4 linked regions of the Diceros bicornis minor genome follow. The protein of the gene in region 2 purifies or fractionates together with the protein of the main gene of each other region. This does not show direct contact. Links are inferred from orthologs where the notes say so. Each region holds a gene or a part of one and is shown on either strand. Other genes may lie near its edges.

Region 1 (7,049 bases), on a different chromosome or scaffold from region 2:
ATAGAGACAGTAGAATGGAGTCCCTGAAGAAGAAAAACAAGCTTTGGACCAAAGCAAACATTTAAAACTATAATTAAAGAAAACTTTCTGAAATAGAAGAAAATAAAGTTACAGAACAGTCAATACTAAGATGTACACTAATGAAACTATTGGACTTTCAAGATAAGGAAAAATATCCTTTACTCATCTAGGCAAAAAAATTCCAATTCACTTATATGGGAGAGAAATCATATTGGCATCAGAATTCTTACCAGCAGCATCAAGATATCATGTAGAGAAAATATGGTCAAGGATTTTATATTCAGCCAAATCTCCCTTCAAGTATAAACATCACAATTAGAAACATACAAAAGCTCAGGAAATATTGTTCCTTCCTAAGGAATCTCCTAGACAACACATTTCAGACAATCACAAAATGATTTGAGAAGCTCCAATACAAAGAAAATAGAGGAGAACGAAAGACTAAACAAATTCAGATCGTGAAATTCTTTCCCAAGGAATCTCCTGCTTCAGACAACCAAAACATGATTTGAGAAAGCTTCAACATGAGAATAATATGGGGGAATGGAAGAACTGACAAATCCAGAACTTCCCATCAAACAACAGATGTAGTTTCTGCAACAAATCAATGACATGAAACAAGCAGGGGAGCGGGTGACTTGTGGGATGTAACAACTAAAGGTAATACATGAACTCTCTTTTGATCCTGATTCGAAAAAAAATGAACTATAAAAAGATATTTTTAAACAATCAAGAAAACTGATTATGGATTAGCTATTAGATGTAACAAGGAATTATTACTAATTTTTAGTATGAAAATTACACGTAAAAATGTTTGAAATTTTTTAGAGATACAAACTGAATTACATGGGTATAGAGTGATACGGTCAGGATTTTTAGAACAAAAGAAAAAGTGATGAAGCAAACGCACAAAAACTTAACTGCTGAATCTGGATCATAGGTATATGGGAGTTTACTGTATTATTCTACTCATGTATGTTTGAAATTTTTCATAATAAATTAAAAAAATAAAACTAGAGGTATATGATCCAGATACACAGAGGCATACTAGACAACTATACAAAGACAACTATTGATCAGGTCTCTCAGTCTCTAGGTCTCTCTCATGCACACACACACACCGCAGAGAATATACATAGAGAAAGATAGGAAGAAAAACTGCAAGACAGGTAGTCTTACTACAGAAAGAAAAAAGGACCTAAAAATAGACAATTCTCTTATCTAATAGGAGTTGACCTCCTAAATTAAAAATACTAAAGTGTAGAAATGTGCTGAGGGGTAGAAGAGGAGAAAGCAACAGACTGACTTGGAAGTTATTTTGCAAATGTACCAGTCTCTGTGCTTTCTGGGCAAATTATTTAACCCGCCTGAGCTTTAGTTCTTCAGGTACAGGAGGGGGATAGAAGACGTCCTAATCTACCTCAGAGTCACTGCAGTGATCTAATGAGACCATACAGGAAAAAGTGCTTTGCATATTGTAAGCATGATGTAAACATAAAAGAATATCAATCATTAGGTGTCTGTTTCCTCTTGCCCAGATGTATCTCAATTACTTAAAGTAAAATAAATATTAACTGCACATGTCATCTTCTAATTCTTATTTTCTAGGCTAATATCATAAACACATCACATTTTAACTTAACATCTAATGTCATACTCACTACTCCTGTGTAATAGCGTAGTCCAACTACATGACCTCGCAGAGTTCCAAATAAAACTGAATCGAGCTCTTCATCACTAGTCAGGAAGTCATCTGGAGGAATAATATCTTGGAATTCAAAACGGGGAAAGAAAGTTGGATATGACAGGCGTGGAAAATTTCCGGGGACTCCATATTGGACAGTCTGCAAGTACTTCCAAACAGGATCTCTGTCAAAAAAAAAAAAAAAAAGGACACACTAAAATAACACAATATTTAACCAAATTTTTCTCAAAGACCATACCATATTTATCGGCCAATTATCTTACCACACTTTATGTCAACAAATTACACCTTACGTGGGAACCGCTGCATCGAGACTTACAGCGAGTTATCCCGGTGAAAGCGGGAACTGGAGCGAGCGGAGGGTTTCCAGTAGCCCCACCCGTTCAGCGACGCCTCTCCACCCACGGGGATTCAAAACGAGAACCCCAGCAAGGGTTCCCAAGTCTCTCTCCTAGCGACGATCGTCTACCGAAGCTGAGACGTACGCGACGTCTGCAACTTCAGTTACACGCCAAAACGTCATGAGGGGCTGCGCGAGAAGAGACTTGCAAATGCAGGACCACTTTCACACCTGCAGCCGAGCCCGTCCCTGCTGACGACACAGCCAGCACCCACGGCGGCGATTCCCTCCGAGCAGCACGGTCGTTCCACTCACGCATCCCACCACCGCACCGAGCGAAGTCGGCCCCAAGCCCCCCACCCGCGCCCGTTTAAGGGGAACCGCAATCCCGCTGCGGACAACGGTCTCAGGAACGGGCAGGCGAGCCAACCTGGACCCCGAAGAGTCCGGGGTCGCTTCCGCCGCCTCGGAACCGAGAGAAGCTGTTCCGCCCCGTCGCGCGCCCCTCTCCGACTCCTCCGCAAACACCCCCCCGCACGTCCGAGCGCGCGCACGACCGGCCGCCAGCGGGGAAGGGGCCCGCCCCCGGCCCTCTACCGGGCCAGCGCCCAGCGCACGGGCATCCGCCGGCCGCTCGTCGCATAAGGCGCAGGTGGAGACGCGGCTGAGGGGCCCAGGCCCCGCCCCTGACTGACCTCCCCACGGCCCCGCACCGGCCGCCGAGGAGCCTCCCCTCGCCAGCCCACACTCGGCTGCTCTCGCTCCCGCGGCTGCGAGCCCCAGCAGCACCGGGCCGCGGAGCGAACGCGGGGAAGGTCAGGTTCATGTGGGGACGCCGCCGGGCCGTTACCCTCGGCGCCCCACCCCGCCCCCTTCACCTCTTGAACATCCAGGAGGACATGGCGCTGCGTGGGTGACGAGGGCAACGCCGGGGCGCCCGCGATCGTTCTCGAGCCGCCTCGACACGCCTCCTTCCGGGCCTAGCGGGCGAGAAGCCGAGGACCGGTTTGGGGCGCCGGAGGATGGACGAGCTAGCGGGAGGCGAGACGCCGCGAGCCCAGTCAGACGTCGACGCCGTCTCCTTCCAGCAACAATCTGGGAGCCCAGCGGCGCTTTGTGACTGGCACGGGGGACGTCCAATCGCGAGAAGGGAACCTACGGAGACGAACCAATCAGAGCACGGAACGGAGGGCAACTACGCCCCGCGCACAGATTCAAAGACCGTGGGGGGTCCCGGCTGCACCGGCGGTTCCATCCGGGTTCTTCCCCGCCCCCAAGATGGGCGCGCGGGAAAGGCGCGGGAGTGCGGGAGTGCGACCGCTGCGCCCGCGGGTCTGCGTGTTCTGTGCGAGTCCCTGCCTCAAACAGAGGGAGACGACTCTCCTGTCGGCTGCTTCCGCCGAGCCCCAAGCCTCAGCCTCGTTCTTCAGCCCTACCTCAGCTCGCCTCTAATTTTCTCCTCATCTGATGTGACATGTGATAGGGTCTTCCGCTGGCTTGCGAGCCCGCAGCTACCACCTTCATTTCCTGTGGTGAACCCGGGCAGCTGGCGTCAAAATACTCATTTTCGCCAGCGAATCCACGAGACACACCGAGTTCAGAGGAGCTTCCTTGGCGTTCAGATTTATGGAGTCCCCCCGCCCTCTTTTTTTCAAGGAAATTTTTCATTTCTAGCGAAGCCGCAAACTGCGACGCCAGCGCACTAACGCTGCTGGGGAGCGCTGCCCCGGCACGTGCTGCCCTCAGGGGCCGCCCGGGCGCCCAGGCCTCCGCGGCCGGCCTCTGAGGGTCTGAGGAGGGGAGCAGCGCTCGGCTGGCGTCGGTCGGCCACGGCCGTCCGTGCGGCCCGGGAGCCGGGAAGGGGCGGCTGCCGACTGAGCGGCCGTGCCCGGCGCGGCGGCGGCGCCGGGGAGCACGCGGAGCGGTCCCCGGAGACGGGCGCGTCCCAGAGCAAGGGCGGCCGTGGCTGTGAGCGACGCTGACACGTGCCCGGGGCGGAGCGGCCCATTTCCACTCCCGGCGGCAGTGCGAGGTGCGCAGTGCAACAGGGTTTCGAGAGGCGTCTGTTCCTCCTCTTCAGCTGCCGTGATCTGTACGCGTGGACCCGCAGCGGGATGCGAAATCGAATCCGCAGCAATTTGTTACTTCATTGCACTAGACAGAAGGAGGTGGTGACGAAGGTGAAGACAGTGGCATTTCAAATTATTTTAATTATTTTACTTCTGGAAGTATTATGAAGCAAACGGCAATACAGTTCAATTTTTGGTGTGCCAGATTCTAAATAACCTCTCGGAAAATACACCAGAAAATGCCCAGATTGAAAATGTTTTGTGTGTAAAATTAATGAAGAAGCTATGCTCATTAGACTGAAGGATAAAATTCCAAATATGAAAATACAGGTAAACGTGACTCTTTCAAGACTTAAGACCTATGAGTAATGACTGTCCCATGGTTCAAGAATGCGGATAGAATGAAGTAAAAATTTGCTATTTAAAGTCAACATTTTTGTCCGTGTTGTCACTATTTTACATCTCAGATCTAGCAGTTGAACTTGAAAACATTTACTTAATCATTCTTTACTATTTTTATTTTTAAAAATGAACTCCAGTTTGTACTAGTTTGATTAAATGTTACAACAGTTACAAGTTCATAACTATCAAACTGGATAATGTTTTCTGAGAAATGAACATTTGTAACTGAAAAAGAATGGGAACTGTACAGTGGCTTGTGTGTTGGACCCATGTGTCAGGAGGAGAGTGGCACAAAGAGGATAGTGAGGAAGATTACATAGAAACTTACAGTCTGTGGTCGAGTTTGTATTTTATTTTATTTTTTTATATATCTATTTTTTATTTTTTTCCCCCAAAGCCCCAGTAGATAGTTGTATGTCATAGCTGCACGTCCTTCTAGTTGCTGTATGTGGGACGCGGCCTCAGCATGGCCGGAGAAGCGGTGCGTCGGTGCGCGCCCGGGATCCGAACCCGGGCCGCCAGTAGCGGAGCACGGGCACTTAACCGCTAAGCCATGGGGCCAGCCCTGTATTTTATTTTAAATGCAATAGAAAGCCATTAAATGTTTTAAGCAGGAGAAGGACCATCTGAATTAGGCTTTAAAAAATTCACTCTGGCAGCTCTGTGGAGAATGGATTATAGGGAACAAGAATAGAAGCAGAGAGACTGATAGTTGATAATTAGGAAACGATTGTGTCCAGGTAAGAGATGAGGGTCACTTGAAATGGGGAGGTGATGAAGCTTAGAGAACCAACCGGGTTTGCTGATGGATGTGGATATGGATGCTAGAGGAGAGCAAGGAATAAAAAATTCCTCCAGCTACCCACCTCCCAGACACAAATATACTTTTTCATCCTCCCCACCTTTTAATTAGTCATGTTACTCCCCTGTTTGATGCTATGAGCGTGAAATCAAAGAAAGGCAAGTGTGGCTCTTTATAATCTGTCCCCTACCTCCCACTCCTGTCACCGCCCAACCCACCCTGCTTACAATGGCCTTCACTAACTTCTATAAAAATTATGAATATTTTCATACATAACTGTAAGGCTATTCTTACACCCAACAAAATTAATAATAGACATTGGTGTCTTCTAATAACTAGTTCATACTTGAATTTTCACAATTATCTCAAAAAATGTTCTTTTATACTTTGTTAACAAAATAGAATTTTGAAGCCCTTAGCAAAGAAAATAACTTTAAGAATATGAATTTCCAAAAGTCTGGCCTCAACACAAAAACTTCTAAATTTATGTCATAAATAATAGATTCTGGAAGAATATATGATGTTGTAAAAGTTTGTTTGTTTGCTTCACTCCCCCAAAATGAGATAGAGACAAAGTTCAATGGAAGAGGAGAATTTTCAGGAATGACATAGGAGAGTTCACAGAGTAAATCTCTAAGTGGATCTTAGGGAAAGGAACTGGAATGCCATCACCCTGGGCCAATCCCCACAAAGAGAGCGATGGTAGACAGCCTAGCAAAGTTTCTGGAGATCCCATAAGAAAGGAAAGCTATGCCTCATTTTCCAGAGAGTAGCCTCAAGATTCTATAGATCTTAACGAGAGCCTCAGAGATCAGAAATGTACCAGGGCAGTAAGAGTAAAGGCTAGTGAGGTGGTTCCGTTAAGGGGCCCAAGGGTAGCCTTTTGAAATCCTACGAGAGTCCCCAGTGGCTGTCCATCACTGTGAAGGCTGGAGGCCTTCACTAGATCATGGTTCCAGCAAGGTTAAGCAGGAGGCTGGTGCCTAAAGATGAGGTAGGATGAGTTATATCAGCAGTGAGTGCCTGCAGAAGATAAATGGAGTCCAAACATAAACCTCCTAAAGGGTAAGAAACCCGCATTTAATTGACTAAATCTTAAAATGACTGAACAACCTGGAAGTGACTAAATTAAGTTACTTCCCATTAGGCGAACTAAGGTTTAAAACAAATTAAGTTCAATAAAAAAAATAAAGATTTATCTTTGCAAATGGAGTTAGTGGTTGAAATTATACATGCTATACATCCATAAACACATACATCTCAATGAATTTACACATAGATTTTTGTGTGTGTGTGTAAGGAAGATTAGCCCTGAGCTAACATCTGTTGCCAATCCTCCTCTTTTTGCTGAGGAAGATTGGGCCTGAACTAACATCTGTGCCCATCTTCCTCCATTTTATGTGGGATGCGGCCACAGCATGGCTTGATAAGCCGTGCATAGGTCCGCTGCCAGGATCCTAACCTGCAAACCCCAGGCCAGCGAAGCAGAGTGCACAAACCCAACCACTAAGCCACTGGCTGGCCCCTATACCTAGATTTTTATAACAGATAACTCTAGCCAGTTGAATTAGGGGATTTTCATTCTCTTCTTTTTGCTTATATGCATGTAAAATGTTCTTGTATTGAACATATATTGCTTTTTTGCTATAAGAAAATAATAAAAGATATAAACTAAATTGTAGTAAAGAAATTATGAAGTTTTTCAACTTT
Region 2 (6,964 bases):
AGCCACACTTGGGGCTTAAGATTATGGCTCTACCACTCAGGAGCAATGTGTTCTCAGTCACATTTCTCAACTCATCTGTACCTCAGTTTCCTCATCTGTAAAACTAGGAATGATAAAATCATTATGAAAATTAAATATACGGTGAAATACCTAGAATACTACCCAGTACATTGTATGTACTCAATAAATGTTAGTAATTATTATGTCAGCTATTGACCCTCACTCTTTATATCTTCAATAGCTTTTAATAAGGATATGAAGGAATCAACTATGTTTTTAAATTTTACTTTATGGTATTTTATATGTGAAGTTATATGATATATTAGTATTTACAGATTTGAAATTTGCTGAGGTCCCATGTTTTAGCTCTCATTCTCTACTATATGTTATGTTTTCACCTATCACAGGTGAGATTTTCATCATATTTTCAGCATAAGAAAACTAAGAACCACTATGGTTAACAGGAGCAAGAACAATGGCTTTGGAGCCAGACAGTCCTATAGACCTGTGTTCAAATCCCAGCTCCACTGCTCTGGACACACCACCACCTCTCTGTAAAATAAGGATATCCACCTTTCAAATTGTAAACAAAACATATCATGTATATAAAAATGCTAATGCCAATCTCTACATGTAGTATGTATTCAACAAATATTACTCCTCAGGTAAAAAAGTTAGATATAATGATTGAGGTGTTAGCAATACCTTCAAATTCATCTCAAATCACAGATATTTCTTTTTTTTTTTAATGAGCACCTATTATGTGCCAGGAACTGATTGCAAGGAGTTCCTAGTTTGTTCCAAAAAGATTCACAGGGAATGTACCAACACAAATATGTTTAATTTTGAAAAAGATTATTTTCTAGCTGACTATGAACACAGGCTACTGATAGTACTGTATGAAACCATCATTTTTATAGGTAAAAAATGGTCAGTATTGGAAATTTCACAAGGTTCAGTAAAATATAACAGGTTTATAGTCCATAGGAAACATTTTAGATAGGGCATTTATCTAACTTACCATGGAAAAGGCACTAGATTTAAAAACAAAAAGATCTGAGTTTGAGTCTCCAGTTTATAACCATCATCATCTGAAAAGCTGTCTTAATACACTGCCCAAGCTAGGGATTCTGAGACAAAAATTCTAACAACAGGAAGGAAGAAGGGAGAAAAGATGAGAATCAATCATTTATCTTTTGTTTTCTCCTTCCTCTTTCTTCCTCCTCAAGGAAGACAAAGTTAGAGGACTGGAGTCCCCTCTGGTCTTCCTGAGAAAAAGAAAACTACAATAGACAGAAGCTGCTCACCAGATTTTGGATCTGCTCAGCATTGTGTGTGCCCCGTCTGGTTCCAGTTACTTAGCAGCCATCTGAGCTTAAGTAGTCCCTTAATCTCCCTGAGCCTCTGTTGTGCAATGCAGTAAACAATCAACGCCTTATGGGATTATATGAAATAATTTATATGAAAAATATAAAGCAACATCCAAATGTATGGGAACTATCAATGAATTCTTTCCCACCAGCACACGCCCCTGAATTAACAGTTCAGGTAAAAGCTTATCAACCTGTACACAAAACACAGAACCTGCTAATACTGAATCTTAACACCATATCTGATTGACACCCAAAGAGACGACGAATCAACCCTGTATTTAAAGGATGCGATCAACAGCAGTTGTTAAATGCAAACTCATTTCTGCAAGACTGAACACCAAGCATTCGGACAGGTTTTTCCAGATCACTATCCTATACATTACCTTATTTATCACTTCTCAGAAACACCCTGTGATAGAAGTAGTACCGGTACCATTACCAGATGAGCAAAACCAAGGGCCACAGGGTTCTAGGGGCTTCACTAAGCTCACAATGCCAGTCAAAACGCAAAGTTGATTCTGGAGACTATGTATTCTGGCTCCAACGCTCGTGTTCTTTTTATTTCTTTGTTTTATTTTCGTGTTCTCTTTAATAAAAATATCTGGGACCATTTACTGAAAGCGACTGTACCACAGGCATTTTATATATATTAACTCTCACAACAACCTTGTAAGGTATGTATTATTAACCACATTTAGTAGGTACAAAACTGACTCCCAAGAAAGTTAAGAAATTTGTCCAGTGACACCCTGTAAGTCGAGTGTCAGAACCACAGAATGTAGATCTAGTGGACTTCCAAGACCATGCTCTTTCGACTGCTTTTTTATCACTCACTACATTTAATAAATAAAATTTGAATACTCGAAGAATGTAAAACAGGCGATTAATACAAGTCCAGTTTTTCCACAAGACTGATTAGCTATATTGGTAAATTCCAAAATAAAGCCAAGTTAACAGTGGATGCAAAATTAGGGGGAGATTTCGTTTTTCAAACTTACACCACTTAATTATGAGATTCGATAAGACAATAATTGATAATTATCTAAGCAGTTCATGTTTAACGCCCTTCGCGCCTAAATTTTCCCTCGTGGATGAGTTCGGAGGTTCAGGACAGGATAAAATGGAACAAAATACTCTTTCAACTTACTGATTTCTTTTCAGCCTGAGAAGGTGTCGGCGATCCAAAGCCCCCAGGGGACTGTGTGTAGCCGCCGGCTCCCCCATAGGTGGAGCTGCCATAGCTTTCATAGCCACCTGATTTTAAATAACAGTATTAGTATCTGGGCTGCTTTCCATGCTTCTGAAAACTCCGCAGGTCCCCTCAGGCTTCACGCCTCCCAGCCACTCCCAGCACCTCCCTAACTTTCCCCACCCCCTTCCCCTGGGCCCTACACGCCCCCACCTGCAGCTCCCGCGCCTCCCCCACCCCCGCCACACGCCTCTCCGACCCCCGCCCTTTTGCGATGCCCTTCTTGCGACTCTCATCCTCCTCCGCCCCACTCATTACTATTCCACATCTTGATCACGACTCCCTCAGGAAAGAGGCCCAGAACGTTCCGATCTGGTGGGTTCGCCGGACACCTCAGAACCCTGTCGCAGCCGCAGCGCTGTTATCTACTCTTCGCTGGCGCCACAAACACCTTCCCGCGAATGACGAAGCCAATCAGCGCCCCGAACGCTTCTCGCTTCAGCCAATCAATGCTCACGAATCCTACGCTTTTTCCGGTCTTCTCCGGTCACGCTCCTGAAAACGCGCACTCTGCTCCCAATGGGGCCGGAAGCCTGTGCGGCCATCTTTACTAAGGGCAAAACACGCTGCGCCACCGGAAGCAAGGTGCGGCGAGACGCTGACAGGGCGGTGTCTCAAGAAAACAACCAATCAACATAATACTTCCACACTTGGGACATGTAATCCCACCCCTGTCCAGTGAGCGACATCTTACATCACTTCCTTCGGTGGGCGCCCTCCTGTTCCCGCCAAACTCTCTCCAATCAGACGACGCCTTAATCTAAGGGCCTGTAGTAGAATTCCTGCTTCGGCGTCTCCGCCCCGCAGTCGCGCGGTATTTGCGCATCCCAGGAACACAGTGTGCCTCTTGGGATTGCTTGTTCTTTCCCGTAAGGAGCCAGGTTCTCTTCTCGTATCTCCATCCGCTGGTCCTGATTTTCCCTAATAAGGCCGTAAGAAACCTTGACTCTTTTCCCCAGATGGCCTTTCAAAAGATCTGTGGATTCCCCTCACACCTCCCCGCCGCGGTCCCCTCGCAGTCTAATCCAGCTGCGCATCCTCCGTTCCTTCAACTATTCTTCATATACCATGGTTGTGCCTTTCCTATAGAGAGTAGAAGACGTCTGTTGGTTCCTTGCTTTAAATACTGCTACAGTAGATTGTTAGATCCCCCTTCTCCACATTTATTTATTAAAAAATATTTATTGGGGCCCGCCAGGTGACGCAAGTGGTTAAGTGCACGCCCTGCGCTGCGGCTGCCCAGGGTTTGCTGGTTCGGATCCCGGGCGCGCACCGACGCACCGGTTGGCAAGCCATGCTGTGGTGGTGTCCCATATAAAGTGGGGGAAGATGGGCATGGATGTTAGCCCAGGGCCAGTCTTCCTCAGCAAAAAGAGGAGGACTGTCAGATGTTAGCTCAGGGCTGATCTTCCTCACACACACACACACACACACACACACACACACAGACAAATTTATTGATGCCTCTTTTGTTCCAAGTTCCGTGCTGGCCACTGGGATTCAATTGTAAATAAGATAGACATGGTCCCTGGGCTCCTGGTCCATTTTATTTTCTTTTTCTAAAGCTGCGAGCACTATCTTAAACATTTATTAACTCAATCCTGTGAGGTAAGTAAGTACAGTTATTATCCCCATTTTACAGATGGGGAAACGGAGGCACAGAGAGGCTGTTGTGGGAATTGGTGTTCAAGCCCAGGAAGTCTGATTCCATCAACCAAGGTGGTTACTGTACCCTCTTGAACATCCTGGAATAGGGTCACAAACTCAAAGGACAAGTTGGGTCAGGCAGGAAAACTGTAAATGTATTGGGTTGGATAACAGGGAAAATAATTTTACTTTTTTCTCCACAGTAAGGAAAACAACCACACAAATGTAATGGTAAATAGTAATTGATGTAGAGAACGTGGACCCAGGTCATCCAAGTTTTTTTAGCAGATGCTGGAAATCTGGATTTTTATGTAAAGATTTCTGAATTTTAAGTGTTTATAAGTAAATTTTAAAACACTATGTAGGCCAAAGAAAAGATAACCTGTGGACCAGATGTTGCTTGTGTGCCATCTCTTTCCTATGTAAATTGTGTAAGCCTCCAGATCATGGCTGAGAAATAAACAAGATACAGCCGAGGACAAAAGCCTGAGGCTAACCAAGATGACGTTATTATACTAAGCCAAGGGGGTTGAAATTTACATAGTCTGACAAGTAAGAGCATTTTATGACCTATAGGATAAAATGATTTAAGACTATTCTGGGAAATTTAAGATGTGGGTTCACTTGGGTTAATTGGCTTCATTTGGGATTCAAATAGTTATAAATTCAGCTGTGAGGATCATACATTTAAAAATAAATCAAATGAAATGAAAATAACTGCAAAACATCAAAAAATTTTCCACATCTTTTCAAGAGCTTGATGATCTGATAAGTTGAGCAGAGGGCACAGTTCTCAATCAACACTAAAATAATTGGTATTTACCTTTTGTGTGTGTGTGTGTGGTAGTACATTCATCTCTCAAGGTTTAGTTTCGTCAAGTTGAAGTCTTCCTGTCACACGATGGGATTTCCAAGAAGTCTTCCATTTCCAGTCCACGTTGGCTGCTATCAGGAAAACCCACAGCAAGACTGAGAGGAGGAGAAATCACCCTTTAAAAACAATCTAGTGACACACCCATTAGGATGGCTACAATTAAAAAAGCAGAAAACACCAAGTGTTGACAAGGATGTGGAGAAATTGGAACCCTTGTGCACTGTTAGTGGGAATGTAAAATGGTGCAGCCGCTATGGAAAATAGTATGATGGTTCCTCAAAAAATTAAAAATAGAATTACCATATGATCCAGCAGTTCAATTTCTGGGTATATACTCCAAAGAATTGAAAGCAGGGACTCAGATACTTGTACACCCATGTTCATAGCAGCGTTATTCACAATAGCTAAAAGGTGGAAGCAACCCAAGTATTCATTGACAGGTGAATGGATAAACAAAATGTGGTGTGGACATACAGTGGAATAATATTCAATCTTAAAGAGGAAGGAGATTCTGACGTATACTACAACATGGATGAAACTTGAAGATATATATATATATTTTAATAATTTTTATTTATTTATTTTTTTCCCCCAAAGCCCCAGTAGATAGTTGTATGTCATAGCTGCACATCCTTCTAGTTGCTGTATGTGGGACGCGGCCTCAGCATGGCCGGAGAAGCGGTGCGCCGGTGCGCGCCGGAGATCCGGACCTGGGCTGTCAGCAGCGGAGCTGCGCACTTAACCACTAAGCCACGGAGCCGGCCCTAACCTTGAAGATATTATGCTAAGTGAAATAAACCAGTCACAAAAGGACAGATATTGTATGATTCCACTTATATGAGATACCTAGAATAGTCAAATTCATAGAGACAGAAAGTAGAATAGTGGTTGCCAGGGACTGGGGGGAGAGAGAGAATGGGGAGTTATTGTTTTCTGGGTACAGAGTTTCAGTTTGGGAAGATGAAAAAGTTCTGGAGATGGATAGCGGTGATGGTTGCACAACAACATGAATGTAGTTAATGCTACTGAACTGTGCACATAAAATGGTTAAAATGGCAAATTTTATGTAATGTGTATTTTACCACAATTAAAAAAAACTTTTAAATCCACTTTGGTGTTTATTGAGTACATTCCACATGCCAGACACATGCATTATCTCTGTTAAATGCTTAATATGCATTATCTCCCAATGTTTTTGACTTGCCATTTTAACCTCCAAGATTGTTTTGCCTCCACTTTATAAATACATATATTTTAATCAGAACTGTCCCAACACTGATAAAATTTCACTTAGACTTAATTCCCTGTTCAACTTTCTGCACAGTGAGATTTAGCCATTTCTAATTTTTTCCATTTTTAATTTTGCTGAAATCATTTTTATGTGAATTAATTCTCTCCTGGGCAAACTTTACAATGAGGGTTTAATTCATCATTCAAATTTGATCCATACCAAATTTTACTGATTTTTCACATCTGCCACTGTAGTTTTATGGGTGCTCATTATTGCGATCAAGTACAATTTGATTCAGGAGATTTTTTTTTGCAGTTTTCCATGTTATACACCAGATGGGATTTTCTAAACTTTTTTTTTTTGTCTAAGATAATTTTAGTAGGTGGAGTAGCCATTTCAGTTTTATATTGTATTGATTATTTCTACCAGTAATAATCATCATGAATTGGATAATATTAGAGAGGCTTTTATATGTGACACAGAACACTCACAATATTTGTTGAATGCTCGATTTATTCAACTCATAGCTAATAAAACTTGAAATCAATCTTTTCAGTATTTAAATGTTGTTTACAAATTTAATTAAATAT
Region 3 (7,577 bases), on a different chromosome or scaffold from region 2:
GGAGATATACGTAGAAAATCACACCTAGACACACCATAGGCAAACTGCTAAAAACCCAAAATAAAGAGAAAATCTTGAAAGCAGTCAGAGAAAAATGGCATGTTACATACAGAGTAACAACGCAAATGATGGCTCCATCTTCCACAGACTTAAAAAAACATACTGAGGAGTAAATTTAGCAAAAGATGTGTAAGACCCCTGCACTGAAAATTGCAAAACAGTACTAAAAGAAATTAAAGAAGATTTAAATAAAAAGGGAGATATACATGTTCATATATTTGAAGACTAGATACTATTAAGATGTTAATCCATCCCAATCATAATCCTACCAGACTTTTTGGTAGAAACTGGTAAGATGATTCTAATATTTATATGGAAAATGCAAATGATCTAAACTATCCAAATCAAATTTAAAAAATAACCACAAAGTTGTTGGCCTACACTATGTGACTCCAAGACTTACTATAAAGCTATAATATTTAAAACAGTGTGTTACTGACATAAGGATTGATCAATGGAACAGAAGAGAGAGTCCAGAAATCAACTGCCATTTATACAGACATCTGAATTTCAATAAAGTTATCAATGCAATACAATGGCACTCTCAACAAATGATGATGGAACAACTGGATATCCATGTGGGAAAAAAATTTAATATTTTTCACAAAATAATTTTCACACCATTCACAAAAACTAGAGCTGGATCACAGGCCTAAACATAAAAGCTAAAACTATAAAATTTCTAGAAGAAAATACAGAAGTATATTTTCACAAACTGGAGGTGGCCAAGATTTCTTAGACAGGACTCTGAAAGCAATAACTATAACAGAAAAAAATGATAAATATGACAACATCAAAATGTAAAACTTTGCTTATCAAAAACAGCTCTAAGAAAATGAATAGCCAACCACAAACGACTGATATCCATAATATAAAAAGGATATATAAAGAACCCCTACAACTCAATAATAAAAAGACAAATAATCCAATTTAAAATGGGCAAAAGGGCCGGCCCCATGGCTTAGCGGTTAAGTGCGCGCGCTCCGCTGCTGGCGGCCCAGGTTCGGATCCCGGGCGCGCACCGACGTACTGCTTCTCCGGCCATGCTGAGGCCGCGTCCCACATACAGCAACTAGAAGGATGTGCAGCTGTGACATACAACTATCTACTGGGGCTTTGGGGGGAAAAAAATAAATAAATAAAATCTTTAAAAAAAAAAACATGGGCAAAAGATTTGATCAGGCACTTCACAAAGGAAGATATAAAAATATCAATAAGCACAAGAAAAAGTGCTCAACATCATGAGTAATCAAGGACTAAAATTAAAACCTAATAACATACCACTTTACATCCAGCGGAATGGCTAAAAATAAAGACTGACAACACCAAAAGTTAGCAAGGATGTGAAGCAACTAGAACTCTCATACACTGTTGGCAGGAAATGGGCTAATAAAACTACCCAGCTGTAAACACATGCTACTCTTCATGAAAAAAGAAGAATGACTTGAAGATGAAGCCACAGGTGCAGAGGGTAGGGCAGGCCACAGAGGATTAGTCCCAGGCCTTGAACCCTAATGGTTCTTTACATACCTTGGATATCAGTCCTTTGTCAGATAGGTGTCAGTGCTTGCCTATTCATTTTCTTAGAGTTGTCTTTGATGAGAAGTTTCAAATTTTGATGTAATCCAATTCATCTGAGTAGACACCTTAAAAGGGTCTAGGAAGTCAAAAAGGGGAAACAACCCAAATGCCCATCAATTAACGGAGAAACACAATGTGGTATATCCCAACAATGGAATATTAATATTCAGCTATAAAAAGGAGTGAAGTACTGACACATGCTACAACATGGATGAACCTTGAAAACATTATGCTAAGTGAAATAAGCCAGACACAAAAGGACAAATACTGTATGATTCCACTTATATGAAATTTCTAGAAGTGGCAAATTCATAGAGACAAAAAGTAGATTAGTGGGACTGGGGTTAGGGGGAAACGAGAAGTATCTGCTAATGAGTTGGGGGTTTCTTTTTGGGGTGACAAAAATGTTCTGGAATTAGACAATGGTGATGGTTGCACAACCTTGTGAATATACTAAAAACCACTGAATTGTTCACTTTAAAAGTATGAATTAGGGGCCGGCCCCACCACACAAACGCTTAAGTGGGCGAGCTCCTCTCTGGCGGCCTGGGGTTCGCAGGTTCAGATCCCCGGTGCGCACTGAGGCACCGCTTGTCAGACCATGTTGTGGCAGCAGCGTCGCATATAAAGTAGAGGATGATGGGCAGGATGTTAGCTCAGGGCCAAGCTTCCTCGGCCAAAAAAAAGAGGAGGATTGGCATCAGTTGTTAGCTCAGGGCTGATCTTCCTCACAAAAAGTAAAAAGAAGAGAAAATTTTTTTTTAAAGTATGAATGTAATAGTATATGAACTATATCTCCACTTTTTTGAAAACATCTAGAAAGGCTGAATACGCGTCTAAATTGAGTGTCAAATTCCTTTTAAATGGGTAATTCCTGCCCAACCGCAGCCACTTCTTCCAACTCCGATCAGCTACCGACACAAACTTCAGCGCTCTCCACGCCTGTCAACAAGCAGCAAGCAAAGGTCTGGCGCCCGTGCAGGGAACCGCCCCAAGCAACGGGACGCCGCCCTCACCCCGTCGCGGGTCCTGGTGCGTGCGCCCCGTGTGGCGGCGCAAGTCCCCTGCACCCCGCCCCTCCCAATCCCACTCGCAGTTAAGCCCTGCTCCTGAACCCCCACTGGACTAGTCAGCACAGGCCTCCAGTCTCACGGCCACTCTGGGGGCACCGCAGGCGAGCTCAACCGCCGCCCCCGGCGCCTGACTCAGGATCCGAGCCGCCCCGCGCTCCACAACCCCAGCGCCGACCACCCCAGCGGGGCCGCTTTCCCTTCCCACTTACGCGCCTCGCGCAGCGCGCGGCGAACGCACGCAGCTCCCCTAGACTAAATGCGAAGGGAATGGAGTTTACCCACAGCCGCGCAGAGGAAACTGGGAACGAAGCACAAGAGAACCCTGGGAAGAAGGTCCAAATCGAGAGAGAGCCGGGGGTGGGGCGAAAAGAACAGGAGGGGGGAGCCGTAATTCAAGTCGGAAGGGGAGAGGAGCCGCAAAGCAATCTTTCGACAGCCGTAAAGCAAGCTGGAAGCGCGATGCTGACCGCTGCGTTCGGAGCCGCTGTCTCCGCCTCGCTCTCTCTGCCTGTGGCTCCCCGACGCCTGCCTCCAGTTCTACGGCCGCCCAGATCTCTGCTGCCCCCTGGCGGGTCCGGCCAGCTCGCCCGGTGCATGCGGCTTAATCTAAGGCCTCTTAGGGCCCACTTCTCTCGCCCCTTCCCACAGGACCTCACAAACCCAGTCCCAGTCAGAGTGCGGTGATGGGGCGGGCGAAGAACTTCCTGGTATTATTGGTGCACACTAGGGATATTGCAGGAAAGGAAAACCGTGCTTTTAAGTCTTATTAAGAATGGTTGTCAGAGGCCAACCCGGTGGCGGCGTAGTGGCTAAGTGCACGTGCTCTGCTGCTGGCGACCCAGGTTTGGATCCTGGGCGTACACCAATGCACCGTTTGTCAGGCCATGCTGTGGCAGCGTCCCATATAAGTGGAGGAAGATGGGCACAGATGTTAGCCCTAGGGCCAGTCTTCCTCAGCAAAAAAGAGGAGGGTTGGAGGATTTGCATGAATGTTAGCTCAGGGCTGATCTTCCTCACAAAAAAAAATAATGGTTGTCAGAGCTCTGTAGTTTCCACCCCAGACACGCACAGCAAAACCAAGGCAATGTGGACATACTTGTTCACCAAGCCTCCTTTCTCTCCTACCACTGCTGCATACACCCACTGATCCCCGGATGGCGTGTTACATTAGCTAGGACCAGAGGGAAATGTGTGGCGACTTGTGGGAAGGGAGTGCTTCTTTAGAATGTCCCTTGGAACCGTGCCTTGCAACTGGGTGATGACTGCATATCCTGTTAGCAATGCTCAGAAACAGGATTAAAAAGTTTAGTCATCACAAACCCAAATTAAGTACTAAGGACTCCAACAAAATCATTCTCTTACGTTTTACAAATTGGTTGTTTCAATAAACCCCCTTTAATCAGATGGTTCGTTGTCTGAGCAGTAATATTCCATCCAGGGCAAATCATTTCTTGGATGACTTCTCACTCTTCTTAGTAACACCGTCGGAAGCTGAGTAAAAAGCCTGGAATCAGACCCAATGCAGAAATAATTTATTTGATAAAGGTTGCATTTCAAATCAACCAAGAAAGGAATGTTTGCTTTTAAAATGGTGTTGGTACAATTAGTTAACTGTTTGGATTACATTCCTGACCAAAATATACACTAAAATAAATTACAATTGAATTCAAGGGTGAAGTGTTAAACACACAAAGATGCACATAAAACAAACTAAAAAATATACAGATGAATATCCGACCTCAGAAGGGAGAACGGCTTTCTGAGTTACAGATCTTCCTCAACTTAGGATGGGTAAGATAACCCATGGTAAGCTGAAAATATAAGTTGAAAATGCATTTAATACACTAACCTACTGAACATCATAGCTTAGCCTCACCTACCTTAAAAGTGCTCGGAACACTTACATTAGCCTACAGTTGGGCAAAATCATCCAACACAAAGCCTATTTTACAATAAAAAGTTGAATATCTCATGTAATTTATTGAATACTGTACTGAAAGTGAAAAGCAGTATGGTTGTGGGGGTGCAGGATGGTTGTAGGTTTACCCTTGTGATCGCGTGGCTGACTGGGAGCTGTGGCTCCCCTGCCACTGCCCAGCATCAGGAGAGAGTATCCTGCAGCATATTGCTAGCCTGGGAAAAGATCAAAATTCAGGATTCGTGGGGCTGGCCCAGTGGCATACTGGTTATGTTCGCACACTCTGCTTCGGTGGCCCGGGGTTCGCTGGTTCAGATCCCAGGCACGGCCCTTCACACCAGTCATCGAGCCATGATGTGACAGTGTCCCACGTAGAAAAAATAGAGGAAGATTGGCAACAGATGTTAGCTCAGGGCCAATCTTCCTCACCAAAAAAAGAAAAAAATCAAAAAAGTACTGTTTCTGCTGAATGTACATTGCTTTCATACCATTATAAAGTCAAAAAATCTTTAAGTCCAACCATTCTAAGTCAGGGATTGTCTGTATAAAAGCCAAGAAATAAATCGTTAAGTAAAAGATGGATAAATGTAACTACCTACATAAAACTTTTTAAACTTCCGGAAATAGAAAATAAACAAAACTTTAGAAGTAAACAAGAAAAAGGGGGAAATATTATTAACATGTGTGGTAAAGAGAGTTCATATAGGAAAAGTTCTAACAACTCAAGAAAAATAGGCAACTGAAATGAGTGGATATTTCACAAAAGGAGAAATATAATAAATTTGAAAAAAAGATTTAACTTTAATAAAAGTAAAAAGCATACATATTAAAATAAGTGTATCATTTCACCTATTTGCATTTTAAATTAGGAAATTAAAATATTTATTTTTATACAAATATTACATATGTACATTCTTACTGAAAAATACAAACAATAAAAGTAAACCTAACTCTTTTTGAGCACTCACAGCCAAACCAGTCCTATTCTCAGAGTTACCCATGGTTATCAATTGATGTGTATTTTTGCTGTATGTATATTCTTGTATTTATGATTATACACTGAAATAATTTTGTCTGATACTATTCAGTGTAGATGATACTCTCACGCTGCTAGTAGGAATAGAAACTGATGCAACCTTTCAGGAAAGCAATCTGGCAATTTGTATTAAAAATATATACCCTCTGATCCAGGAATTCAGCCTCCAGGACCTTATCAACTAAGGAAAATACCAAAGATGTACATAAAGATTTCTTTATAAGAATATTCTGCACAACATTATTTATCCCTGAAAAATTACTGGAAACAAATTAAAATACTGCATTATGGAATCTATTCAATAATACAGCCACTAGAAATCACATTTAGAAAAATGTCTATTGTTGTGGAAAAATGTTCAAGATGATATTCTGTAGAAAAACAGAGTCCAAAACTATATACATAAAACAGCTTGCCCACACCCATTAGGATGGCTATTATTTAAAAAACAGAAAATACCAAGTGTTGGCAAGGATGTAGAAAAATTGGAACCCCTGTGGACTGTTGATGGGAATGTAAAATGGTGCAAACACTATGGAAAACAGTATGGTGGTTCTTCAAAAAATCAAAAACAGGGGCCAGCCCGGTGGCGCAAGTGGTTAAGTGCACGTGCTCCGCTGCAGCGGCCCAGGGTTCGCCGGTCAGGATCCTGGGTATCCACCAATGCACCGCTTGTCAAGCCATGCTGTGGCGGCATCCCATATAAAGTGGAGGAAGATGCACACAGATGTTAGCCCAGGGCCAGTCTTCCTCTGCAAAAAAAGAGGAGGATTGGCAGATGTTAGCACAGGGCTGATCTTCCTCACACACACCCAAAAAATTAAAAACAGAATTACCATATGACCCAGCAATTCCACTTCCAGGTATATACCCAAAAGAATTGAAAGAAAAGTCTTGAAGAGATATTTGCACATCCATGTTCATAGCAGCATTATTCACACAATAGCCAAAAGGAGAAAGCAATCCTAGCGTCCATTGACAGATGACTGGATAAACAAGATGTGGTAAATACATGCAATGGAATATGATTCAGCCTTAAAAAGGAAGTAAATTCTGACTTGTGCTGCAATATGGATGAACCTTGAGGACATCATGCTAAGGAAATTAATCCCATCACAAAAAGACAAATACTGTATGACTCTACTTACAAGAGTCAAATTCTCCTCAAACTCTACTCAAAGTAGTCAAATTCATAAAGACAGAAAGCAGAAGAGTGGTTGCCAGGGGCTTGGGGAAGGGGAAATGGAGAGTTGTTGTTTAATGGATATTGAGTTCAGTTTTGCAAGAGGAAAAGAGTTCTGGAGGTTTGTTGCACAACAATGTGAATGTACTTGACACTACTGAGCTGTACACTAACAAATGGCTAAGATGGAAAATTTTATATTATATGTATTTTGTCACAATTTTAAAAATTTAAATTAAAATAAAATAATTCTTAAAAGCTTGCCTACAATGAAACAAATCAGAGAGCTTTCATACCCTCAAAAAGCTTACAATGACATGATTAACACCTCGTTCTTAAATATGAGGACAGTAAAGGATCACAAGGAATATCTTTGATGTAAAAGCTATAAAAACAAATGTAAAGAAACCCAAGAGACAAGGTAAACAGAAAAAAAAATTCAAAGGAAATATAAATAATATTCTCAGATAAGAAGATATTGGGGGCCAGCCCTAGTGGCCTAGTGGTTAAGTTCAGTGTGCTCCACACCAGCAGCCTGGGTTTGGTTCCCAGGCATGGACCTACACCACTCTGTTAATGGTGATGCTGTGCTGGTGGCCCATATACTAAAAAACAGAGGAAGATTGGCATGGATGTTAGCACAGGGCGAATATTCCTCAGCAAAAAAAAAAAAAAAAAAAAAAAAAAAAAATATTGTATTCTTGTTCATTAATAGAACAATATGTT
Region 4 (7,421 bases), on a different chromosome or scaffold from region 2:
GAGAAACTCACACACGCATAGGAACGTCTGTAGAAGGGCTGTATTAAGGGAAAACTTTGAAGAAAACAGTTTGTCTATCCAACAAGAGTTTGGATAGACAAATTTTAGTGTAGTCATATAACAGAATCTAATCATCAGTGAGCATGACTAAACCAGATCTACATGTATCGATGTGCAAGATTTCAGAAATAATGTTGATTCAGAAAAACAAGATGCAGAAAAATATTTTATACATTTATATTTGAAGTTTAAAAGTATGCAATACTATATATTGTTGAGATACATATATTTGAGACAAATATTGAAAAATGAGAAACGCTCCAAAAGGCCAGCAATAGGGGATTGGTTAAATAAACTTTTACAAAACATAAATTCAATATGATCTGTTTGAAAGGATAAGGTAGATCAATGCTATTTTAAAAGCAAGATGCAATAGGTGAAAGAACACAGAATAGCTTATTATTCCTTTTTGGTAAAATTACACATAAATGTTAGTAAATGAACGGGAGCAGAAATTATGAGAGTTGGGAGCAGAAGGTCCACAAGCACCAAATCCTCAATGTTTATAGTAGGAAACAGATAATGTCTAAAACGAGGGGACAGGGGGCATGAGGGGTGGGAACCACTCAAGAAATAACGATACAAGCATATTACTTAAAGAAATAGAGGTAAATACCACATTAAACAGTTATAGGAATTGAAAGTCATTGCTCCAAGGACTGAAAAACAGGAGTAGAAGAGTCAGGCATGTTAAAAAGCCTTGGCCTCTTAACTGACTTTTAAAACCACAAAGATGTATTATTTGAAATAAAAATTAAACGTAAAAGAAGATTCCACCATGAGTCACCTTCAAAGTGTAAAAGTCTATCACAGAGAAACAGGATGGATTCTAAATCCTAATTAATATTAAAAGCAAGCAAACAAAAAAACCTACTAGGACTTTCAAACAACTACAGAAAATGTGCCAACAGCTTGAAAAGATTGTATCAGTCAGTCAAGTAAATATATTTTTAATGAGTGTCTATAAATGTACAGTCCTAAGTAAATAGACAATAAACTCATAGATAAGATTTAAGATTTTGATAAATGCTATGAAGATAACAGAGAAATATGGCATAGAACACTAGGGAAGGAGGGAGGCACACCTGTTTTAGCTAGAGCCACCAGCGAAGGCCTCTCTGTGGGGGAGACATTTGAGTGAAACCTAAATGATAAAGGAATCAGCCATGCCACGTTTTAGAGGAAAAATATGCTAACCACAAAGCAAGGCAAATGCAGTGATCCTGGGACTGGAATGAAGTTAATGAGCTCAAGGGACAGAAAGGTCAATGCGACTAGAATATAGTGAACCGGGGGTAGAGTCGAAAAGGTAACTTTAGAAAGGGTCAGGAGAGTTAAGCGTTGCACAAGGGAGTAGCTATAGTAGCTATAGCACTGGATTATAGAACATAAGCTGGAAAACAACGCCATGAAAGAAGTTAGAGAAAGTGAAAAAACAATGTCAGGAATAATTGTGGAGACGAAGAGAAGGAGCCAGGTGTTAACTGAATGAGGGCAATATGCTTCAAAGGACGTAGGGAATCTGAAGGAGAAACAGATTCAAAGCAGCAACAGGAACAATAGGAAGGTGGAGGTTACCTACCCCACCAACAGACCTTGAGATGTGAGAAAAACAGCCTCTTCTTGAAAGGGTTATTGATTTCAAGAGTATGCGGAAACAGCAAGCAACCTGGCAGCAGGACACCTGGATTTAAAGCCCAGCTTTAGCAATTACTACCTGTGTCATCTTGACAAGTCACCTAATCTCTCTAGCCTCAGGTACCTCGACTATAAAACAGGGATATTTATTTTACCTACTTCACAAGGTTGTTTTGGGGATTAAATGAAAAAATGTAAGTGAAAGTGCTTGGCATATAGAAAGTTAGCTAAATATGACCGAAGTTTCTTGAATGAATGCAAGTAAGAAAGCTCCTTAAATCATTTTTAAAAACGCAGCACATCAATGGTGTTAATGCTGGTGAAAGCCTTTCATGGTAAATCTTTACACAGAAAATACAGATATGATACACACCGTGGATGCAGGTGAGGCAGAAATAGTGACCTGGAAAGATCATATTAAATAGCTCTGAGGACCCAACAGATAGGCAGTACTCGTCCCCTTTGCCAACATCTGAGTTTACAGAGCGATCATAACTTATAGCTTCCTCTTCTTTTCAATTACAATTATTGGAACAAAAACTAGTTCAACCCGAGTTCCACCTTGGAACATAAGAGGCTAATAAATTCTATTTTCTCTGAAAGTGACATGGTAACTCCTCATTAGCAGAGCACGGTGAAGAGCAGTAAAACGGCCATCCATCAGCTCACACATACAGACGTCTTCAAAAAGACTCAAGGAAAACAACACACTGTAAACTCACTTTCTTAATGGCGACAATTTGGTTGGTGTTCTTGTCTCTGGCCTTATAAACCGTGGCAAACTAGAGAGAAAAACAGGAATAACGTTAAGTCTGCGGGAGTTTTTCTGTTTGTGGTTGCCTTTTTACTTTTTTAGATTTGGGCGAAGCAAAGAACCAGGGTTCTCGGAGCCGACTCGCGGCGGCCTGAAACGTGGTGGGGCAGTCCACGTCCCGTTCCAGCCTGCTCTGCGGAAAGGAGGGGGCCGCTCAGGGGCTCACCTGCGGGCGTACCGCGGGGCGGCAGGGGGCCTGGGCAGCCTCGCCCAAAGGGAACGAGCAGCCAGGCCAGTCCTCTGGCTTCCACTTCAGCCTGCCAGCGTGAGGCGGCTCGGCGCTCTCTGCTCAGGGCCCTCCGAATCCCGCCCCAGAGTCTCACCTGTCCCTCCCCGAGGAAGTCCAGTTTTTCATAACGCTTTGCTCGCGACTTCACGTCCACAGCCATCCGTCGCGCGAAGCCGACTCCAGCTGAAAGGGCCGAGTTCTGAACACAGCAGGAATTTAAAGCTACCTTTAATCCCCCAACAGCCACTTCCGTTCACTGGTTCCGACGCTTTATTAGCTCCGCCCCCACATCCGGGATGGGCGTGAGTGACATTAAATAAGTCCAGCCAGAGCCCGCCCTACGGAGGCTGTGCGAGGCCGGGCTCGCTGGTTTGCTGCTATGCGCCCCGCGCTGTCACGTGGTTGCCTGTTGGTGCCGGAAGCGGCGTGTTTTCGGCGATGGATGTCTGTGTCGCCCTGTTACCGCTGTAACTTAGACATTTTCTTCACGACTGGGGACGGGTCACCGTTCTAATACGATGTTCTGAGTTCGGGCTTTAATAGGTGTGTATGAGTGTGGAAAGCTTGGCCTTGTCCCTGATCTCGCTTTCTAGTTGTTGCTCGAGGGCGTCCTGTCGCCACGGTTACTAAGAACGCTTAGCCCCGCAATGTCAGATTATTTAGAGGAGTGCCCAGTTCTTAAGGGCTGGTCAAGAGGCATTCTTAGCCCACTCCCTTTATGAAGAAGCACACCCAGGGAAACAAAATCCAAGTCAGCTCAAGAATTTTGTGCTTTGAAACACACCATATGGTCTTCAGTTTTCTACTCTGTAAAATGAAAATAATAATAGACTACATCATAGGTGGTTGTGAGGATTAAATGAGACATGCAGAAAGTTTAGACAGAGTAAGTGCTCAATTAAATGTTAACTGGTGATCAGTACCCAACTTTGTCATAAATTTTCATACAAATCAAAATTTAAACACATTAATTCATTTATTCAATGAATATATATTGTTTACTGTGTGCCAGGCTCTGTTGTAGACTCTGAGAAGTCAGCGGGCCAAAAGACAAAGATCCCTGACTTCCAATGAGAGGAGAAAACAAACAAGTAAAATATGTGTTGATACATAGTGATAAGTGCTATAGACATAATAAAGCCGGGAAAGGGCATAGAGATAGTAGGGTTTGCAGTTTTAAACAGGGTGGTACAAGAAAGATATCACTGAAAAGCCACTGCAGAGTTTTGAGCAGACAAGTGATATGATCTGACTCAATGTTTTAAAAGGTTCACTCTGACTGTTGTGAGAGACTAAACTATAGACTTAGAAGGGCAAGGAAAAACAAGAAGGCCTGTTAGAGAATTATTGTAATAATCCAGTTGGCTATATTAAGTGCTACATGTTTGGCTTCTAGCCAATAGGATTTGCTAACAGTCTGGATATGGGTTGTTGGGAAGAAACAGGATAATTCCAAGGTTTTGAGCTCTGGAGCATTTGATGTTTCTAAGAATTGAGAATCCTGATTTTCAGAGGTATGTTGGGAAGGCATCGGAATACCAAGACACAATTTGATCAAGGTAATAGAGTAAAGGTTGAGTCCTTGCTCTGGATCTAGATACTTGCATTTGAATACTGGCCTTACAAATATTTAATCACTAGATGTGTAACTTGGGCAAATTATTTAACCTTGCTGTTCCTAGTTTCCTCCTAATAGGAACTACTCATAGTGTTGCTGCAAGGCTTAAATGACCTCACACTTCAAAAAACCCTTAGAATAGTGTCTGACAGTGCTCATTTTATGTTAGCCATTACATAACTACTATTGCTTATCTTCCAGCTCTTTGTCACTACTTGGGTCTTTATTGAGCTCTAATATGTTCATGGGAAAAATTCTCATACATTGCAGAAAACACACCATCTTTTACCACTTATATCTCTTAACTGTGGCAAGTCATACCTAATGATACATGGTGTCACATGACTTGGGTCAAAGTTCCTTCTGAAAGACATCACTGTAACAGTAATCTAACCTCACTTGTAGTAGAAATAAGCTAAACAATGAGCTAAATTTGATGGTACACCTGTGAGGCTTGAGGTTCCCAAGTGTGCCATGCCATATGAATTGATAATCACTCCATTATACCATGCTGCTGACAAGTAAATTCCTGTTTGGGGACATTTTAAATAGGGTAACAAAGGCAGTGTTTAGGTGATATTCTGGGTTCATTAGATCATTGTATATATAAAATACCATCCAGCATCTGTATAGCATTTTACAGTTTACAAAGCACTTTCACACATTGGTAGTAGCCAGCTTCCAAGATGGCCCCAGTGATTCTTGCTTTCTGGTATTAATGCACTTGTGTAGTCTCCTCCCACAACAAAACAGGCTGTTCTGTGTGACCAATCAAATATGGCAGAAGACAGTGTCTGCAGCTTCTGAGTCTAGACCATAAATGGCATTGCTGCTTCTGCCTTGCATGCTTAGATCATTTGCTCTGGGGAGAAGTCAGCCCATCATGTCATGAATTAACTCAGACAGCCCTGTGGAGAGGAACTGAGGCCTCCTACCAACAGCCAGCATCAACCTGCCAGCCACGTGAGTGAGCGACCTTGGAGGTAGATCGTCCAGCCCCAGTCAAGCCTTTAGATAACTGCAGCCCCAGTTGGCATCTGATTGCAACCTCATGAGAGACACTGAACAGAACTGTGTCTGCCTGAATTCCTGACCCAGAGAAACCATGAGCTATTAATTGATTATTGTTGTTTGTAGTCACTAAGCTTGGGGGTGATTTGTTACAAAGTAATGGGCAATACACTAATTTGGTCCTGCCTGTCACACTGTATAGTACCGGAGAGGAAAACTGAAACTTGGACAAATTAAGCAATTTGCTAATGGTTACATATATTTAAGTGCTTAACCTCTAAATGAAAATACAGGCTATTTACTCTAAGCCTAGCCAGAATTCTTTCTATGACACCATCCTCCTTGGGAACTCATCCTGTGACAGCAATTCCCTCTGACATGCCTTTTTGCCATACCTGTACTCACAAATTCTGTAAAAGTGATATATTTTTTCTTTGTGACTTTCATGGCAGCAGCTGTAGTAAGGTGCCCTGCAAGCAGTTCCAGTATTGGGCTTTCTAACTGCTGGCCCATAGTATTGCTCAAGCCAGTCGTTTTTTTGGGGGGGGAGAAAGGTCAGCCCTGAGGTAACATCCATGCCAATCCTCCTCTTTTTGCTGAGGAAGACTGGCCCTGGGCTAACATCTGTGCCCATCTTCCTCTACTTTATATGGGATGCCGCCACAGCATGGCCTGACAAGCGGTGCATCGGTGTGCACCCGGGATCCAAACCCGGGCGGCCTGCAGCAGAGTGCGCGCATTTAACCACTAAGCCATGGGCTGGCCCCTCAAGCTAGTCTTAATTACTTGAACCCACTCTGTTTCTGAAAGCAAAAAAAATGTCCTAGGCTTCTTTTTACTGAAATGAGAAAGCTAAGAGAAAAATGAGAATAGTGCTAGTTTTTAAGAAAATTTCCCAAATAAATTTCTTAAAAAACAAAATCATAAATCATGTATTTTTCATGAGTCACCAGAACAGCTTATTGCCGGCACCAAACCCCTACCTCATATTCAAGTTTGCCAATGCTTATACTAGGCCAGAAAAAAGAATTTAGAAGAGAAGATCAACTCTAAAATAGTAAAAACAAAAACAAAAACAAAAACACAGTAAACATTAACCCATAGGGAACTGGGCAAATGTAGAAACGTACTTGACAACAGTTCTACTCTGTCTATTGCTCATGATCTACTCTTATTTTTAGGGATGACTTCTTTAAAGCATATTTTAGAAATCATTAAAGGTGTGGAAGAGAATTTATTGAGCTTTGTTAGGCTTTACTTTGACAATAATACATACCTTTGGCACAGGAAGACTCTATTAATAAAGTTTCATAAATTGCCTTAATAAGGTAAATATTTAGGTTGATTTTATGAGGCTTTCAGACAGTAAATTTGAGAAAATTAATGGTTATCAGGATTTGCACACATGATCTCAATCAAAAAGTAAAATAAACCAAAGAACAAGACTATCTTAACACTCTTCAAAACATAATAAATTGCAATTTCTACTCAAACATTTATTCCTATGCTATATTCACTTGATTTCTTAATTTATTTTCCATTTTCCATTGACATTTGTTTCTGAATATAGGTTACAAATAATCTTTGTGTTAACACCCCAGTCTTATTACCACAAAGCCACTTGTTTTACTTTGCCTATATTTGTATCATTTACAGTAGGATACGCTTATTAAGCCAATTATACTGCAGTAAATTTGTGAATGAAAAACGTTAAGAGAATTAAGAGCAAATAATGGAGTCATTATTTCACTGATCCTCCTCCAATTTCGGGAAAAGCACTTCCCGAAAGCAGCAATTTTGCCTGATAAATTCTTTCCATATCTAAACAGAAACTGAAAGAAAAGTGAAATTATGGGAAACCTGTGATAGTTTACGAGAGATTGTGTGCTTTTAATAGTTCAACACTGGTAATACTTGATAATCAAGAGTAAATTAATAGGCTAACATTTAAAAATGTATACTTTAATAAGTATAAAGTATATAAACCATTAGGTAAGCTTGTGGAGAAGCTGACCAAGATACATAAATTAGGAGATACAGGTGTCCATCTA

Evidence for each region.
Region 1: the proteins of RPA2 (region 2) and HLTF purify together in Homo sapiens (affinity purification with mass spectrometry, with the first as the bait; 3 studies listed by BioGRID). This does not show direct contact. The link is inferred for Diceros bicornis minor from reciprocal best matches to the Homo sapiens genes RPA2 and HLTF.
Region 3: the proteins of RPA2 (region 2) and RAD52 purify together in Homo sapiens (affinity purification with western blotting; 3 studies listed by BioGRID and IntAct, with this or other methods). This does not show direct contact. The link is inferred for Diceros bicornis minor from reciprocal best matches to the Homo sapiens genes RPA2 and RAD52.
Region 4: the proteins of RPA2 (region 2) and CDK7 purify together in Homo sapiens (affinity purification with mass spectrometry; 3 studies listed by BioGRID and IntAct, with this or other methods). This does not show direct contact. The link is inferred for Diceros bicornis minor from reciprocal best matches to the Homo sapiens genes RPA2 and CDK7.

The regions. Positions count from the first base shown.
Region 1 is NC_080741.1:5,867,454-5,874,502, reverse strand, and holds the start of HLTF (helicase-like transcription factor), read right to left. Parts: upstream 3,006-7,049; 5' UTR 2,968-3,005; coding exon 2,945-2,967; intron 1,891-2,944; coding exon 1,683-1,890; intron 1-1,682. UniProt on the Homo sapiens protein: Has both helicase and E3 ubiquitin ligase activities. Possesses intrinsic ATP-dependent nucleosome-remodeling activity; This activity may be required for transcriptional activation or repression of specific target promoters.
Region 2 is NC_080752.1:43,399,593-43,406,556, forward strand, and holds the start of RPA2 (replication protein A 32 kDa subunit), read right to left. Parts: upstream 3,008-6,964; 5' UTR 2,891-3,007; coding exon 2,881-2,890; intron 2,628-2,880; coding exon 2,521-2,627; intron 1-2,520. UniProt on the Homo sapiens protein: As part of the heterotrimeric replication protein A complex (RPA/RP-A), binds and stabilizes single-stranded DNA intermediates that form during DNA replication or upon DNA stress.
Region 3 is NC_080756.1:59,530,186-59,537,762, forward strand, and holds the start of RAD52 (DNA repair protein RAD52 homolog), read right to left. Parts: upstream 3,015-7,577; 5' UTR 2,924-3,014; intron 2,624-2,923; exon of another isoform or gene 1,591-2,623; intron 1-1,590. UniProt on the Homo sapiens protein: Involved in double-stranded break repair. Plays a central role in genetic recombination and DNA repair by promoting the annealing of complementary single-stranded DNA and by stimulation of the RAD51 recombinase.
Region 4 is NC_080759.1:8,285,469-8,292,889, forward strand, and holds the start of CDK7 (cyclin-dependent kinase 7), read right to left. Parts: upstream 3,001-7,421; 5' UTR 2,902-3,000; coding exon 2,836-2,901; intron 2,481-2,835; coding exon 2,421-2,480; intron 1-2,420. UniProt on the Homo sapiens protein: Serine/threonine kinase involved in cell cycle control and in RNA polymerase II-mediated RNA transcription. Cyclin-dependent kinases (CDKs) are activated by the binding to a cyclin and mediate the progression through the cell cycle.